Drosophila melanogaster: one gene and its partner. Changing the gene in region 2 together with the main gene of any one other region gives a genetic interaction. Each region holds a gene or a part of one and is shown on either strand. Other genes may lie near its edges.

Evidence for each region. A genetic interaction does not mean that the proteins touch.
Region 1: of bchs (region 2) and Ppt1, changing one enhances a phenotype caused by changing the other (phenotypic enhancement), as found in Drosophila melanogaster (one study listed by BioGRID).

Annotation. Positions count from the first base shown.
Region 1 is NC_004354.4:8,687,786-8,692,687, forward strand, and holds Ppt1 (Palmitoyl-protein thioesterase 1), read right to left. Parts: upstream 2,443-4,902; 5' UTR 2,294-2,442; intron 2,262-2,293; exon of another isoform or gene 2,234-2,261; 5' UTR 2,195-2,233; coding exon 1,650-2,194; intron 1,510-1,649; coding exon 1,360-1,509; intron 1,304-1,359; coding exon 1,177-1,303; intron 1,118-1,176; coding exon 995-1,117; 3' UTR 842-994; downstream 1-841. Other genes in the region: CAH3 (carbonic anhydrase 3), read left to right, coding at 33-169, 252-392; Ogg1 (8-oxoguanine DNA glycosylase), read left to right, coding at 2,703-2,842, 2,901-3,218, 3,280-3,766, 3,826-3,912; CG11294 (uncharacterized protein), read right to left, coding at 4,383-4,902. UniProt on the Drosophila melanogaster protein: Cleaves thioester-linked long fatty acyl groups such as palmitate from modified cysteine residues in proteins or peptides.
Region 2 is NT_033779.5:5,904,587-5,910,368, reverse strand, and holds the start of bchs (blue cheese), read right to left. Parts: upstream 3,201-5,782; 5' UTR 3,082-3,200; intron 2,057-3,081; 5' UTR 2,025-2,056; coding exon 1,734-2,024; intron 1,680-1,733; coding exon 1,434-1,679; exon of another isoform or gene 1,322-1,433; coding exon of another isoform or gene 125-1,321; exon of another isoform or gene 80-124; intron 1-79. Other genes in the region: CG14000 (uncharacterized protein), read left to right, coding at 125-1,321; CG9021 (uncharacterized protein), read left to right, coding at 5,708-5,779.

The DNA.
Region 1 (4,902 bases), on a different chromosome or scaffold from region 2:
TTACTCTATTACTCTTGGCTCTGCTTTTTTAGATTGCCTATCATGGATTGGTCTGCAGGAGCTGAGCAAACATTATTACACGTACAAGGGTTCGCTGACAACGGCGCCGTACTTTGAGAGTGTCACCTGGATCATATACCGCACCCCCATCTATGTGTCTCGCGGCCAGGTGCGTGTTTTTCTCACCAAGATGATCCCCCAAATACTTTCATTTGGAACACTAAATTTGAGAAACCTCTTTTGATTTGCAGGTTCAGGTGTTTCGCAATTTGCAATCGTGTCCCAAAGATGAGTCCAAAAAGATAGTCAACAATTATCGCGAGATCCAGCGTCCGCACAAGGATCCGGAAATCTTCTTTGCGCGCAACACCAATCCAAAGTCCAAGTTATAATGTGCTTGCCATATGACTTGGATACAATTCTACAATTCCCGCTCCCGCTGACTTTCCTTTTTCCAACCTTTCGCGCAATTTTCTCCGCCCAATCGCCTATCTAAACTATAGCTATGTGTAAACATTTATCTGTCTATGGTTGTCTGTAAGCTGCTTTTGTTATTTGCCTCATGTACATAGCGTTATATACCTAACAAAACATACATATACATACATACATATATATATATATATATATATATATATATATACGGAGTATTTACGATACGGATACGTGTATGGAATTTTAGTCGGAGCACGCGGTTGCCTTGCATTGAATATTTCAGAGAAATATCGGGCACAACTACTTAAGACATCTACAAGAGACGTAATCCTAACGTTTAAGTTATTAAGATAAACAGTGAAAGCGAGAAAAAGAGGAAAATAAGAACAGTAAATCAACACATTTTGTATGTCCAAACTGAATTTATTAAACATCTAATTAAACATGTATAAAAGTATCAAAAAGTCATTATTAATATTAAAATGCTTATGTTAATAGGAAGAATGGATTAAACCTATGCAAACATTTTTGTCACAATACGTGCTTTTTGGGCACCATCTTATTTTTCGAGTAAGAGAGGCACTATGTTCTGGATAAACCAGGCCTTGGATATGGCCAAGTGATCACCTTCGACGCCGAGAAAGACAAGTTGTCCTTGTCGATGCATCTTGTCCAGTCCCAGCTTTAGGAAAAAATGTACATTTCATATTAGAACGTTAGGTGATAGATATGCATACGTACATCCTGATAGACTTTGCTCTCAGTAAAGGGCTGGATGACTTTGTTCTGCCCAGTGGTGTAGTATTGAAACCACTGGGACTCCTTCGGCTGGACAATTGTGTCGTTTAGGAACTGCACCATCACAAATCTGCAAAGCAGAGGTTAATAATATTTGATAAATGTATAAGTATAATACGCGCTTACTTCTTAAGCTTTTGCAGATTCTCAATGTAGAACTTGTTGATGAAGAGCTCGTTGTTAATGTCCGCGAGAAATGTGCTGCCCAGGCGGTATTTGTTCTCCATGATCGGGTCGTGCCAGTAGGTGGCCTGAACCAATGCCTTCTGCACTTCACTGGGTGTATGGTATGCAAGAGAGAAGAGAGAATTAACACGGAAACGACAAGGATGGCGACATGGTGGTGTTGGATTAATAAGCATGTAAATTCCAGGAATTATATTATATTAGGATTCCTTAACAACAGATAGACTCACGGTGCGTAGGCGGCGTTGTCCAGTAGCCTCGTGATATAATCACAGGGCTTTTCGGTTAAGGTGGGGCACATGGGCAGTCCGAAGATGCCCTGGTGCTGCCCACCGAGTGTGATAAGGTTCCTCATTGGCGGATTCGGGCAACGTTCGGCAACCGCACGCAGAAACTGGCCGCCTTGCGAGAATCCGATGGCGTGGTATCCCTTGGCCAGGTGCTCATCCTGCAGTAGTTGCTTGCAAACGTAATCCACCTGTTCGTTGGGATGTATGAAGAAGCCGCTCTGCCAGTCTATCAAAACATTGCCGCCGATCTGCAGGGATCGCACATAGCCGCCCTTTGTTTGCTCCACGATCAGGTTCATAATGGCACCCAGGCTGAAGGGTACGCAGCAGGTGTCGCCCATTCCGTGCCACAGAACGACCGGCAGGACCTCCGGATTGGTTCCTCCTTTCGTCGGGCTCCACCATATGTAGCTCAGCACGAGGGAAAAGATCAGGAACAGCAAAAATAAAATGCATGAAAAACGAGAACAGCAGATAGAAATCATTGTTGTTGGAGTGCAATTTTTGCAAATCAAATTAGTCGTCTGCTATCGATAATATATGGTTCGATAATATAATCGGGATATTTCATGTACGGGATGTACCTGGTCTTATTTATACCTAAAGGTAATTTCGTACTGCGTGCTTTAACGCAACATGAAAAATACTGCAACTATTTTTCCTTTCAAGGCAACAGGCTTGACTATATAACTGTTCAATTAGGTGCATTTTTCGAAGCCCTCGTCTACATTGCTGCATTTATTGGTACTTTATTGTGCAGCTGTGAACAGAAAATTTACATTTTCCAACACTGGCGTCTAAGCAAAAGTAGAATGTTGTGAATACCCCGAACGGTAAACAAATGCTAAACAGCTGATAGCAATAACACATTTTATTCAGCGAGTTTGTTTCTTTCGATTTAAACTCGAGTTTTAATGTGGTTTACTATTTAAACGTGACAAAGTACTATTGTTAAGTATGCCAAAACACGGCTTAAGTTGTTTATAAAACCGGATGCTGGCTCATAACCTAGGTTTCCATAAAAAGCGCCTTTTTTCAAACATGAAGGCTGTTTTACAGGATCGGGGTGTCATAGGCTTATCCCTCGAAGAATGCGATTTGGAAAGAACTTTGCTTGGAGGACAGAGTTTCCGGTAAGCGCTATCCATACTAATAATGAACATATGTACTCAAAACAACTTTACATGCCAGATGGCGATCCATATGCGATGGTAATAGAACGAAATATGGCGGAGTGGTGTTCAACACCTACTGGGTGCTCCAGCAAGAAGAATCCTTCATAACTTACGAGGCATACGGAACCAGCAGTCCTTTGGCCACGAAGGACTATTCTTCCTTGATATCTGACTACCTACGTGTTGATTTCGACCTAAAGGTCAACCAAAAAGATTGGTTAAGCAAAGATGATAACTTTGTGAAGTTCTTGAGTAAGCCTGTGCGCCTCCTTTCTCAGGAGCCGTTCGAAAACATTTTTAGCTTCCTTTGCAGTCAGAACAATAACATCAAGCGGTAGGTGGTTCAATCAAATGCGAATCCCATCATTAAATACAGTAAATTGGTTTCTTCTTAGCATATCATCTATGATTGAATGGTTTTGCGCTACATTTGGCACCAAGATTGGTCACTTCAATGGTGCCGATGCGTATACATTTCCCACGATAAATAGATTCCACGACATCCCATGCGAGGATCTTAATGCCCAGCTAAGGGCTGCCAAGTTCGGTTATCGGGCCAAGTTCATAGCACAAACGCTGCAAGAGATCCAGAAAAAGGGGGGACAAAACTGGTTCATAAGCCTAAAGAGCATGCCGTTCGAAAAAGCTCGCGAGGAGCTGACACTGCTACCCGGAATCGGATACAAAGTGGCCGATTGCATCTGCCTTATGTCAATGGGTCACTTGGAGTCAGTGCCCGTCGACATTCATATTTACAGAATTGCCCAAAATTACTACCTGCCACATCTAACCGGCCAAAAGAACGTAACCAAGAAGATTTACGAAGAGGTCTCGAAACATTTTCAAAAGCTACACGGAAAGTATGCCGGTTGGGCTCAAGCTGTAAGTACACTGAAAGTTGCAATTTAGTCTGTGTGTTTCTTATAATATCATTATTTCAGATTCTCTTTTCTGCCGATTTGAGTCAATTTCAAAATACTTCCACAGTTGCTTGTAAGAAAAAATCCAATAAAAAACCTAAAAAGTGATCTTATCTATTGGATTAAAAAAAAAAATATTCCTACTTGTAATATTTGAATATTAAAATATAATAGAAATGTATATACTAATGTATATATAAATATATATCTAAACAGAGAAAGAACTTGATACTGGGTTTCATATATCTTTTTTTTATTGCTAAACAGATGTAATTGATTAAATAAAGTGTACATTAAATGTCCGTTTTGTATATACATCGCCATATTTATGTGTACAGATTGCGCTCGAATTTGAAATTTAGGATATTCAAAATGTGTTGTGTCCGTTTTAGAAATTCATCACCTAAGGAAACCACTTTTAGATACGCATACAGATGTTTAGGATATGCTTATGAAGTGGTTATTCGAATCTTTTATTGGAGTGAGCACTGTACAAGTGAAAGTTTCAGTATCTGTATCCGCATTCGTATCCGTGTCCGCATCTTTATATCTGTCCGTATCTTGATAAAAGTCCTCGTCTACAGGCCTCCATTCGCCTCCGCTGATCCCGCCGCCCCCTGAGTTCCCTGTTGTTGTTGCTGCTGCTGCTGCTGCTGGAGCTTGCTGCTCTGGGAGAAATCGATACAGGCGCCGGAGGTGAGATCAATCTCCTCGGAATCGGATCCATCGGAACCCTCGTCGGAGTGTCCGGATAGGGCGGCCATTCCGCCCAGTTCCATGCCGTGCGACGGCGCCTTATAGAGCTTTAGTTCTGTATAGGTCTTCGATAGCTTATCCTGATCCGTGGCCTGCTGGTGTCCCTGGTGCTGTTGTTGCTGATGCTGCTGCTGGAATGCCGGGTGCATCATGGTGAAGCTCCCCGAATTGGGTCCATTGCCCACCTCCGCCAGTTCCGAATCCTTGCTCGCGGAAGAGAGGTTCTCCGGCGTCTGGCTGGGCGGTCGAGCCGTAGCTCCGTTGCCGGATCCGCCCTGCACCGCTCCACCGCCCATGACGGGGGGCGTGCCCAGGCTGAGGCAGCGCATCCGCCAGGCGTCC
Region 2 (5,782 bases):
CTTAATTTAAGCCCGCAGCCCCGGCGGTGTTTTGTATTTTGAGATACAACTTTTCCCGCAGAACCTTTTTCATCTGTTGCCAAAACTAAATCTAAACCATTTTAAACTAGAATACGTCTGTGAAATGAACCAGGTTTGGGTGTTTTTTAAACTCATCGAGGTGTTGCTGGGCAGTGTTTGTATGTTTTTCCACATACGCGGCTCATCCTACTGGCCAGAGCGTACTCCTCATGTGATCCTATATTGTGCCACATTTTCGTCCTTTACGGCGCTCGCCGCTCTAGGCGCGTTCCGACTGCTATTGGCTAGGAGTACGGTGCTCTCCTCCCAGCTCCTGCTCACACTGAGTGCCGTGCTGTCGCACTATTTCTGCGGCGTGCTGATAATGCGCACCGCCATGCTGGACCCTCACCTGGCCTTCATCAATTCTACCATCGAGTATCTGGAACATCCGCACTTTGCGCACTGCAAGCAGCAGAGCATCGCTGCGCTGGTTACTGGCACCATGTACCTGATGCACATGTTCCACGTGTTCGACCTGCTGATGCGCATGGAACCCGGCGACTGGAAACGTCAGGCGACTGGCCGTAAGTACTTTGAGGGAACAGAGTCTGGTTCAACCGGGCTATTTGTGCTTTCCAAGCCAGTGGACGACTTTCTATGCAAATGCTGCAGGTGCTACTATAAGTTGGCCAATTCTCAGATCCTGTACTTCCGGCCGAACGCGGAGGTGGAGCAGCCGCACTTTATAGTCCGCATGTGGCAGTTCATTGGGGATGCGCGTAAAAAGTTCTTTTCGCTGCATCAGATCGAGAGTGACGAGAGTTTTCTATCAACGCCAACAATAACCACCAGTGAATCGGATATCACACCGGTGGACACGGAGTACAGTGTGTACATGGAAGAGCAGGCCAATAAGATGCGCAGGTCTGCTTCAGCCTGGCGCGGCTCCAGCGATTCCTCGAGCTTGTGGGCCAAAATCGAGGACAGGAGCACTGTTAGCCTTGTTTCAACTCGGTCAAGTGAGAACAGCGAGGCCACAATGAAACCCATTCAAATGGATCGGAAGCTAGCCCGGCGATCTTCCATGTGGGCGGACACTGAGAAAAGGGAGAAATCGGAGATTTTGCTGGTAGAACAGGGCTCTAGCTATTCTCGGCTCAGAACTTTAAGCAATGCTGAATTGGTCCATAAGCCAAGCGATGCGGGAGAAAAGGAACAACAAGTTCCAGATGCAGCCAACCCAAATATTACAAATGAAGAAGCTACGAACTCACACATCGAATTCTCTTTGAAGCCTGGAACTGAGAAAACTTCGTGAATTTGATGACGACTTTCCCTAACGAAAATTGTAGCTATTGAAATTTTTTGTTTTGATTACGTCGATGTATTTTTACCATAAGATACTATAGCAGTTTATAAATGAAACATACCTGTATGAGAGATACGTCTCCATTGGCCAACAAATTGAGGGTAGCCAAAAGCATCCATCCGCTGCTGGTTTCCTCGGTGGTTTCCACCTCGAGAAACTTGACTATGGCAATGGATGCCGCCTCTGTGCTCTGGTTGGAGGCGCGCTTGCGGATTTCGCTGACCATGAGACGGGACACTTGCTGGCAGAAGGCGACCACGTCCCAGAACTTTTCGCTCATGTCGTTTGACGGACAGCTGCTGAAGACCTGTAAGAATGGGGAGTTAGTGGCCTATTCCTCCATACCGACTGATTCACTCACTTTGCAGAAGAGGGGCAGCATCTCGTAGAGCTTGTCATCGCGCTCCTGTTCGCTCAGCGGCTCCCGCGGATGAGTGTATTCGTTGAATAGCTTCTTTAGCGTGGTGAGGCTCACTTGGACGCGGGCGTCCATCAGCGCCTCCTCCGCATTCCGTCCATTTGCAGCGGTCGGTGCACCAGCATCCGTTCTGCTGCTCCCTGGTGAACTGTTGTTCGCCGTCGAGGTTCCGCTACTGCTGCCGCTGACGCTGCCTGCGCTGGCCGCTCCGCGCAGCTTACGCATTACATTCATCTTTGTGTTTGTTGATTTGCGGTAAGATTAATCTAAAAGAGAGAAAATTAAGTTGACTTAATACAAAATATAAGACTAATCTAATGGCTGTACTATGAGGAATGTCATTGATTTTTTTGCAAGGGGGTGGCACTTTCTACATGTGTTTTAATAATGGTGATTCACTTGTTTACAATGTTATGCCGTTTAAAAAGATTATATATTATTCGATAAAGGTGTAAAAAGATATTTCATAGTATTTTGAAACTTTTTACTGCTGTAGTTTAATGAACTTTCCCACTTTCATGCAGGTTTCAGTTCAAAACGTGTCGCTTCGCATTTAAACATATGTTTCCATAGAACCTGTGCTTATTGTAGATATTGTATCTTTTGAACATTGGAGGTGAGATATTTTGGCGATTTATTTGCACAGCACTGACACTTTCAATTGAGTGGCTTCCAAATCACAACCGCGCACAGTGCAGTTGGCGTTATGGCTTGTTTTCGCAGCTATTCTATTTCTGCTGCCGCCGCCTTAATTAGCGGCCGCTGGAGGTGAATCACACGAAAAGTGCGATCATTGTATTCGGTGCGAGTATTAACTTTTCGCGAGTGAATGAACGTTGCCTCTGTCGCCGACTCGATTCGATTCGTACGCCTACATAGCGAGCAAGCGATTAACCGATAGTGGTTATTATTCCATATATTCGGGAAATATTTACATTTTGTGCGAGACAGCTGTTCTTGGTTTACTTATTGCGCACTTGTTTGTTTACTCCAACTCCCTTTGAAACTACCGACTATCTGACCTCTCTTTTCTGCCAACGCATTTGGTTCAGCTAACGGCCGCTCTGTTGTTGCTTTTTCGTAGTCCGCTTAGCGCTCTCTTTCGTGTCGCACTTTGTTTTGCTCCAGTCAATCGCGCCTCACGACAATTTTATTGATTTTTCTTCCTCTCTCGCGTACTCTCACTCGGCCTCTCTGCCCGCCACCCACCCTTGAACAAACCAGCAGATAGGTCGAATTTGAAAATTTTCACATGCACTTTTCCGGCTTATTTCGTGCAGCCGTCACTTACTTTTGCTATCCGTCGCTAGCATTGTGTTTCCCGTGTGAGTTTTCACTATTTTGGGCCCTAAATGCACTCGTTTTACATCTTGTTTCACGTATGAAAATATGAACCAAATTTTCTCCAGCTTTTCGTCTGTACTCTCTTTTCGTTATTCTGTCGAGTGTTGCGTAGCGCTGCCAGTGGTATCAGCTGTTCACATTTTCCACCACCGCAGCCAGTGCTCATTAAGACCAAACGCCAGTGCTGCATTTTGAATTATGATCGGCGGTCTAGCTTTGGCATTTCAAATTCAACTGTACTGATAAGCAAATAAACAAGACCGATTTGTATTAATCTACTTCATTTTATTATTTTTATTTAATACAAAATCTTTTGTATGTCGCCAACGATGTGCTTATCTTCAGATTGTATATATTAGATCGCTTACTAAACTAATGGCAACAGTTTAATAGAACTAAACTGATTTATCTCATAAACTTAGCATCTAAATTGATACTTAATTAGCACTTACTTAATGTTCATGTGTGCTCATAATTAAGTTCATTATTGTTAATAATATTATATGAGTGCTTTCGCATCTCGGCTAACAATTGGTATTCTTAGGCCATTGGCCATTAATTTCCAAATTTCTCTCTCGCCCAATATTCGCATGAGTGTGAGATTCTTTATTGATTCTGGCTAGGGGTTATTAATATTTGTGTTTGTACTTACAGTTGTTATAATTGTCAGCATCAACAGATAGCTGTCGGATATGACAACAAATTTATTTGCATATTGATTGAACGAACACCCGATGGCGAACTTCATGCGTTGATAATGATGCTATTTGCTGACTCATTTGTGGCAGAGAATGCTGTAAGTTTATTGGGATTGATTGATTGGTAAGGCCATTAAATGCCACGCACGTCCTTCTGATCTAATTTCCCTGTACCCGAAACCAATTCGCTGTGTCTCCCCATTTTAATGCGGATAAAATTTCGTTTTTGAATCAATTAGGGGTGCAAAAGAATAAAGGCGTGTCGTGCTAAATATTTAGTTAGTAGTTATCCCCATGACCAACTGCCTCGCTCCCCAAAAATAGTTTACCTTTGGGCGTTGGCCCCGCCACGCCCACTGACCCCTTGCGTGACTGCCCGTATCCACCCGCTCCCACAGTCCTCTTCAGTTTTCCAGCTAGCCAGCCAGCCACATAAGCTAAGCTCGGAGTTCCCTAATGCTTGTTTATGTGGGAAAGCGTTTGGGATTGGCACTTCTCCAGGTATTATATCTTCCCACCCAGACAGGTACTTTGCGCACTTTCCCGCCCGACAAACCCCCCACCGCGATTTGTGGGGCAGGGTTGTGGGGAAAGTCCTTTGTCTGCGGCAATATTCTAATGGATTTTTCCGTTTCAGTTATAAATAGAGGCCCCCTACAACTGACAAAAACGGGAACAATATCTCAGGTGCCAAGAAGGGGTAGACCAGTAAAATGATATTCGGTAGATTGATAGCGCACTAAAAAAAAAAACTCGTGAAGTTGGCGCGAACATTCTATTTACATACAAACTCTTATGAGTAAAGTGACATCAGCCTATTTCATCCGCTTAATCTTCCTTTAAAGGTGAAGTGCAATACCCAGCAAAATTTTAAGTGGATTTTTAAGTGAATTTTCCGAGGACCGCATATGCTGCTCGAGGCGTTTCCGGAAAATTTAAAAGTGTAACCCCAAAAATCATTTGCACAGCATTCATGGGGGACTCATTAGGCGGGGCTTCCCCCTTTCTGTCGGAACGAATAACTTTTATTTTTCGCCCCAGAGTCCTCCACTTCATCACGACGCTGTTGTTGACAATGAGCGAAACATTTGCGTATCGAAATTGGCAAGACCCCGGGCGGCGGCCAAGGATATTCCGGCCTCCACATTCCCGTAAGACATGAATATTCATCCTTTGGCGGAGCGAGTCCCAATCGAGCAAGAAGATGCTTCAGGTTGCCGGGGCTTTTGGGATTAACATAAAATTTCAGTTGATTGTGTTTTGGTGAAGATTTTTATGGGATATAAGGGATTTTATGGGGCAGCTAACTTGTTGGCCTCGATGCCTAGTGAAATCTCAACGGGCCATAAGATTGATGGCAATTGCTTATACAATGGCCAAGGATATTTCAGCTTTATCGCCCATGTGCCTGAGTGAGTGGTTAAGTGTTGATGTGGATTTTTAAATTTGACCATATTTAAATGATAAAACTATTAGGATTTTTGAATACCCCCCAAATTGTAGAGTAAAAGGGTATGTTTATAATCGAACTGGAAGGAAGTCGTATAAAATGTGAGGGCTCTTCACAAATCCTAGCAATAAAAAAAAAACACTGATTATTCCACTGCAAACTGTGTTTTACGATGGAATTCGGCCATGGTGGTGGGACAATATGAAAGATTGATGAGCTTTCTTTGATGAGCTCCCGACAAGGTCGTTCCACTTTTTATTTTGGGTACGGTGTGTTCTTGTTGATTCTTTGCTCTGAATGCGAGTATTTGCCTGTGAAATTTTTCAAGTAAATATGAATTGGGTAAATAGCAGATAAAGTGCTTCTCGTGCTATAAAAGGAGAAAACAACGACGAAAGGAGGCACAGTTTCGCATTGATTTCATAATGCATCGATTGGTGGTCATATTCAGTTTCTGCCTGCTTTTGGTCGCAGGACAATCGGTCGTGGAGCCCCAGGTG